2 linked regions of the Tribolium castaneum genome follow. The protein of the gene in region 2 interacts with the protein of the main gene of each other region in a biochemical or structural test. Links are inferred from orthologs where the notes say so. Each region holds a gene or a part of one and is shown on either strand. Other genes may lie near its edges.

Region 1 (3,667 bases), about 6.3 Mb from region 2:
CCACTTCCATTTCGGAGATTGAGTTCAGCGTCCCAGTCCCTAAAACATACGGGGGCGGAAGCGCCAATTTCCTCATGTACGATGTAGGGGGCCAGCGAGGGGAACGCCGCAAATGGATACAAGTTTTCGACGGAATTGACGCAATTTTATTCATAATCGCAGCGAGTGACTTCGATCAAACACTACGAGAAGATGAATCGAAAAATCGGCTTGAGGAAGCTTTGTCCGTTTTCAGAGACATGTGTGGAAGCCGGTTTTTACGAAAGGCTGGAATGATTGTTTTTCTCAACAAACAGGACCTCTTCCAGAGGAAAATAGAGCACGGGAGAAAATTGGAAAAGTACTTCCCCGAGTACAAAAATTTTAATAAAACTCTGGGTTCTGCGGTGGATAATGCGAAAGCCTTCCTCGAGGAGAAGATAACACAAATGTCGAAAATACAAGTAACAGTGAAAAATTATAATCCAATTACAAAAACAGTAACTGAGGAGAAGCTGCCCCCTAGGGATATTTATATCCACCACACTATCGCTACAGACACTCAGAATGTTAAAAAAGTGTTTGATAGTGTCCACGAAATGATAATTAAGGAAAGTGTAAAAAACATTGCTAGTTACTAATACAAATTTATTACAAGTTTACACAAATACTTTACTTAAGCAAAGACCACTTGAGTTGCTCTTTGGCCGACTGTATTACCTATAAATAAACGTATTTGTTATTACATATTACATATTTATAATTAATTTTTCCTCATACACTTAGCATAACATGACAAAAGCTTCACCAAAAAATTGAATGGACTGCATTAGTTACCTGAGCTACAGTTTGCTCTCCCAAGGGAATATCGTCGTTCCTGAGAGCCACTCGCGACACAACTGAATTTGAATCAGCGTCAATAATAATACTGAAATACAAAAATATGTAAATAACTTACATTGTAAAGGTTAAAAAAAATTACATAATGAAGAAAGTATCCCCTCACCTACAGCAGGTACACCCTATATTTTGTGCATTTTTGCATATACTACATAGTTGTTAATTAGTACATTAAGCTAAGTTTTTGAAATAATTTGTGGAAACAAAACATCTTTTATTAATAATTAGAAAAAAAACTACATCATAAAACACAACAGGCAATATTAATTTACAGACATACATTTGTTTAAGGCTTAATTTCTGGTACGATTAAACTTTTAGCTGAATTTGGAATGGTCGATGTGTATTGTATAAACTCTAGCTATACTGGAAGTTAAGAAGTTTCTAATGTATGCCTTAATAGAATCACCCTCTGGATTACGGTTATTTGTTGTCAGAGCAAAATGAATTAGTAAAACAAAAATGCAACAATAAAACAGATGGAGCCACATTGGGGTACGTTCCCAGGAACAGCCAGTGAAGGGAAACTTCTTCATTAATCCAATATGTGTAACTCACCCCCCATCACAAATTTCATCCATAGCCAACATGACTATATCAAGTGAGTCCAAAACGGCCCTCTTTTCGACGTTTTTGCGCAAAATCTGACTAACAGAGTCATAGAGACAGTTTAAAACGCTCATTAGAATTAACTGAAACGATTTATAATTAACAAAAAATAAATAAAGTACTGAAAAACTTACTTCATTTTCGTGCGAACTACCCATAACATAAAAAAATAAATCAACATTGCTGCGATAAACACAAGTTAGACCATCTAACATGATTATTTCAGCGTTAGCTCTGTGTGTCTTATTGAAGAGATTTTTCTCAAAGGCTCTCTGTTCCTTAGCCGTGGGAAAAACGTTTTTATCGTAATATTTAGCCAAAATACGGTTGCCGTCATTGTCGAGGATTGCAATTCCTTTAACCATGTACAACGTAGGCTCCTGTAAAAACGGGTACTGTGGGCCCCCACAAATAAAACTCGCACATACCAACAGTGTTCCTTCCATTTTTCTCGACTTGTGGCAATTAATTAACGTAACAAATTGTAGCTTATTTCATTAAATTGCAAAATACTGGCAAAATCAGGCTTATTTTGATTTTTGTACGTGTCTAAAATTTGACAATTGACAGAAGATGGGAATTTGGTTTGTGATGTTGGTATTTGTCTGTCATTTGTCAAGTGAAAATTTGAAAATTGTTATTTTGATCATTTTGATTTTAAAATACGACAAAATGGACCAAACAATATGTCCCACAACGCAGCAAAACATTTTCCTGTTTGAGTCATACAGCCGTAACACCCAGTGGCAGGAAAATGAAGGATGGCTGTATAATGAGTCCGTTGCAGAAAAGTGTATTCAGGAATTTAGAAATGAGTTTCCTGGGGCCACTTTTAGCGATGACATGTTACGAGAATACGTGCCCCAATTGGTTGATCGGCTTCGAGCAACTGGTAGTATTAGAGAACCGGAATTACCCAACTTGGAAATTTTTCTAACCCCCGAAAAAGTACAACAAATTAGAGCTGTCCTCGAAAAGGACCCAAACATGCCCCCGAGGAAATTGTCTAAGGTCGTAGGTATGGAAAACATTCCGTGTTTACAATTTGAGACTAATTTGTTTAATTACCAGGCCTACCTGCGGCGACTTGTAAAGCGGTCATGAAAAAACTGAAAAAATAAAAGTATAATTAGTTTTGTAAGGTAATCAATAATTATCTAAAGTTTAAGTTTAACTAATAATGTAGTAACTGTTTTCTTTTCTACGTTTATAATTTTGTTGGAAGAAATAAAATCCTGTTCATATTTAAATAAATTTTATTGTTTTGCGTACCAATACTGGTCATTACATGTGGGTTTACATAATATAGGTAAGTCTTAATCAATACTAATACCTAAGTAGCAGCACAAGGAAGAAGGGGGATGATTGTAAAAAAAACAAGTCTTTGCAGTAAACACGCAGTATCAAAAACCAGATAAAATAAAAAACAGCCAATAGAAACGAATTATAAAGTCATTATTCCCTAAACATATTCTTAAGATCATGTTCAAACAACGCAATCAGCGTCATAATCCCAAACCCTAATAACAGCCCACTCAAATGCAATATGCACTGAATCAAATTCCCTTCATCTTCATGTGCCGAGCTCAACTCTGGTATCATATCCACCAGCGCAATATAAATAAACGTTCCAGCCGCCACTGCGAACACCCAAGAACTGGCAACTTCCGTATTCCCTAAAATTCCAAATATTGAAATAAAAAAAAAACAATATACCACCAAACTAACCTAAATAAACTCCCAGCAAATTCCCCAACACGCACAAGATGCTTGAAATAATGTTATAAAACAGCGCCTGTTTGATACTCATGCCGGCCTTGAGCAGCATGGCGAAGTCGCCCACCTCATGGGGCAACTCGTGGCAGAAGACAGCCACGGCGGTGGAAAACCCCCCAGCGGCACTCCCCGAAAACGCAGCCCCTATCGCCATACCATCAGTGAAGTTGTGGAGACCATCACCCATAATCACCATCCATGCAACCGACGAGAAGTTCTGGGGGGCGGCATGGACGTGCCCATGGAGATGGGAGTGGCCATGGTGGACAGCCCCGTGCTCGGTTATAATAACGGTGTAATCGGCCTCGGGTTCCTCGTGAGGAGCCATTTCGATGTGTGGGAGCATCTTGTTGATTTCGGTGCAGTTGTTCGAGGTGTTGAGGTCGTTGGGACACTCGGTTAG
Region 2 (3,537 bases):
TTGCCATCACACTAGGGAAAAAGACCTCGGCAGTCCCAGTGAGTGCAATGGCCCAACTACAAAACATGCCAATTCAAAAGAGAGCCTAGCTTTTCCCCCGGGGCTTGGGGAGAGATGTATACCCAAGGTTAGGGAATGGAGAGCACGCGGTGGTCGGAACCTCTGGGAGTCCCTCTTGCAACCGTCTTTCTAGAATCACCGGGTTGGGTCCGAGTAATCAACTTTGCATTCAAATTTCCCGCTCAGTTCTCCGAGATTCAACACTCGATTAGCTGGTTGCCTAGGTATAGTGTTTAACTTGTTGTCTATACTCACTTCTGAATTGTATAACGTGTTGCATACTATCACCAATGACTGTAAATTTAGTGAATAAACATTTTGGGTCGAACTCTTTGCGTTTTCCTTTCCCAGACACACAGTGCTTGAAATAACGAATCTCCAAATCTACACGACAACGTAGCGGTCCTCCAAACAATCTCTAGACGATCACCTCAAAACTAAATATTTTGACAAGGCCAGACCCCCGAACGGTTACACAATTGATCTCAATACATTTTTTTCACACAATTTATCATAGTCACCCTGTATTTTTTTGCTTTTTTTATAAATTGGGAGTCAATTTGGTAAATGTTCGTTATTAAAACTCGCTTTCCAAACACATCGTATCTATTTCAGGAGAATAATTTAGGTACAAAAATTAGTCCAGTAATGTACAAACTTGAGAAAGTTATCTTTAAATAGTACAACAAAACAAAATAAGCTGTGGCATTGATGTTTGGCGCAACTATTCGATTAATTTTTTTGCTTTGAAGTATCTCCTTAAGTAGAGAACTTGCCAAGTGGCCAATCCCAACAGACAACACATTGAAAATACTGAGAAGTACAATACCCTACTGTTTGTTGATTCTGCAAAAAAAAACGGTTGTAACAATCTGTTAAAGTTCTGATCAAAGTGGCTCGTGACAAAAAAGTGTTAAATGTTACACTGTCAGTGTTGCCAATTTAATTTCAAAGTCACGGGCCACTGTGTCAGAAACTGAAGAACTACTCACCATTAGTATCTCTCATTTCTTCCTCCCTCTTCCTCATAAGAGCAAAGTCTTGGACAATTTCATTTGACAAATCTTCTAATCGTTTTAATTCCTTCTCTATAGGTTTTAGTTGTGCAGCTTCACCTAACTAAAAAATTTGTTTCATTAGTTAAAATTATTATTTTAAAACGCTTGTCGTGACATACCACTTCATAATTTTTCGTTTCAACTCCGTGTTTTGTTACTAGAGACACATCTTGTCCAATACCTCTCACATCTAGCAAAAAACACATCAAACTTTTCTAAACACAAAAATTGTTTACTTACTTTGAGAAACGCGAGAAATGAAACAAATCTCATATGTGTCGTAACTTTCCGTGTTGAAAGTGAGTTTGCCTTTGGTAATGTCCTCTCTTTGATATAAAATATGTCCCTTCGAGTCCCTAACCTAAAAATAGAATAGCAGAAATTCAAAATTGTTAAAATTGGGATACAATTCAACTTACAACACAGTCAACTTTCTGACCCATTGCTTCAGAGACTTCAAACTCCCCAATAACTGGTACATTTCCTTGCAGTTCTTCTTTTAAACATTTTTGTGTGTTGGGTTTCAATGTCCACATAATACACTCCACGTTGACGAAATAAATACAAAGTAAACACAAATTAAACCTGAAGTTCATCCTTAAGTCTGCTTCTTAACAGATTTCTTAAATAATACATAAATTACTATTTTTTATTATTAAAACAAGTGCTGTTTGCAGATACCGATGAGGTGGCTGACAGCGAATACGTCAAACACGTGGAGGCGAATGTTTATGATACTTACTGTTGAGATTGTCTAACGAACACAAGATCTACAAATGCAGCTCATTCAAATCATTTAACTGCCTTAAAGCTAATTATTATTTAAGGGGACGACAGAGTTAAACCAAGTGTGCGACAAAAACAAGTAGTAATGATATTTATTTTTCTATTTTTAGCGATATTTGTAATCCAATTTTAAATCAAAAAATGAAATTGAGTCTTTTAAATAATTATTAGCATTTGAAACAACGTAATACTTTTTTGAAAAAAAAATTATTTAATAATTTTTTATTAAAATTTTAAACAAATATTTATAATATTTTAAAAAAACGTGTACGGGAAAGATGCACTGCGATGAATACCAACAGGGTGCGTCCAAGAAACAAATAAAATTTTTAGTAGTTTTGAACGAAACGTGAATATTTATTTTACTTTGACAAAATTTGCCAACAAAAATCTCCAACAGTCAAGTGCGGGGTAAGAGGAAGAGAGGGCAAAATAACCCTCGATCAACTAAAGACAGGAAGATGTGAAACACGATGTTTCTGTATACTTGTATTATTCGTATTATTCATACACAGAATTATCCTATTAATCTTTTAAACTGAATTTAGTAATGTATTAAACATCAGTGTTTTTTTTCTTCTTGTAGTAGTGTTTATTTGTTAGTAATTTTTATGTGTTCCTTGCTCAAAAACGGATAAATGATCAAAAAGTTTAGAATACGACAAAATCTGTTTTTCACTTTGAAAAACAATAGGTTTAAATTTTAATTTATTTTTGGTAAAAACATTTTCTTGTCATGATGTCATGAAGTTTTCTGATGATAGAGATTGAGAAAGTCCAGCAAGAAGCAAATAATGTCAAATAACCTTGATTTCCAATTTTTCTGGAATTAAATTCTTTGAAATACCTAAGATTTTCTCGGGATATGTTGAAACTGTATAAGTTGAGTGTAAGTGATAAGCCCAAGTATAACCTGCTTCCCATTCTAAGAAAAAGCTGAAAGGAATCGGACAAGTCGGCAAAACAAAAATTGTGGCATATCATTTGAAAATTTTGAGTTATGGGTGTTTGAAGTTCAGCAATCTTAATCTTAATAATTTGAGGTTTAATATTTTTTTTAGAAATCTGAAAACACCAAAGAAAAGATCTAAAACTTCTCTTTCAAATAAGCCAAAAAGTATTTCAAAATTTTTAAAAACAGTAGGGTTATCGTTTTTTGATTGAAATCAACGATGCAAATCCAAAAATTTAAAAAAAACCTAAATATTTCGAAAACTACTAAATTTAGGTCTAAGGAAAGCTGATAAAAACCCTAAAACTAAGTAATCCAAAAATACATAACTTTCCATTTAAAATATGAGTTGATAGCGACTTCTGGTATAACCGGAAGTGCCACCATCTCGAAAATATTTTCTTTAATAAGCACCTAACGTATTGTCGCTGTATACAACTTTTCAGATGATTATCAGTATTAAAACTCCCAATATTTAATGTGGGGTTTAAACGGAACATCCTGTATAACTCGATCATAAAAGAGGAACTAAAAAAAAGAAAGAAAGTTTATACTTTCTGTCTGCAGTTAGCCCAATTTTACGATTATATGTACATACTACTATAGTGGTCATTTCATTTCCACTCAAAAAATTAAAAGTAGCTAAAAGTTTTTGGACAAGTTCCTATACCTACTCGGAGG

Evidence for each region.
Region 1: the proteins of bai (region 2) and zetaCOP form a complex in vitro, tested with the Homo sapiens proteins (2 studies listed by BioGRID, with this or other methods). The link is inferred for Tribolium castaneum from reciprocal best matches to the Homo sapiens genes TMED10 and COPZ1.

What each region holds. Positions count from the first base shown.
Region 1 is NC_087396.1:16,251,244-16,254,910, reverse strand, and holds zetaCOP (coatomer subunit zeta-1), read right to left. Parts: upstream 2,081-3,667; 5' UTR 1,935-2,080; coding exon 1,917-1,934; intron 1,869-1,916; coding exon 1,623-1,868; intron 1,572-1,622; coding exon 1,438-1,571; intron 908-1,437; coding exon 817-907; intron 732-816; exon of another isoform or gene 700-731; coding exon 652-699; 3' UTR 621-651; downstream 1-620. Other genes in the region: Galphaf (guanine nucleotide-binding protein G(f) subunit alpha), read left to right, coding at 1-620; zinc transporter foi, read right to left, coding at 2,944-3,164, 3,217-3,667. UniProt on the Homo sapiens protein: The coatomer is a cytosolic protein complex that binds to dilysine motifs and reversibly associates with Golgi non-clathrin-coated vesicles, which further mediate biosynthetic protein transport from the ER, via the Golgi up to the trans Golgi network.
Region 2 is NC_087396.1:9,937,915-9,941,451, forward strand, and holds bai (transmembrane emp24 domain-containing protein bai), read right to left. Parts: upstream 1,910-3,537; 5' UTR 1,800-1,909; intron 1,741-1,799; 5' UTR 1,715-1,740; coding exon 1,538-1,714; intron 1,480-1,537; coding exon 1,359-1,479; intron 1,309-1,358; coding exon 1,238-1,308; intron 1,180-1,237; coding exon 1,053-1,179; intron 907-1,052; coding exon 785-906; 3' UTR 649-784; downstream 1-648. UniProt on the Homo sapiens protein: Cargo receptor involved in protein vesicular trafficking and quality control in the endoplasmic reticulum (ER) and Golgi.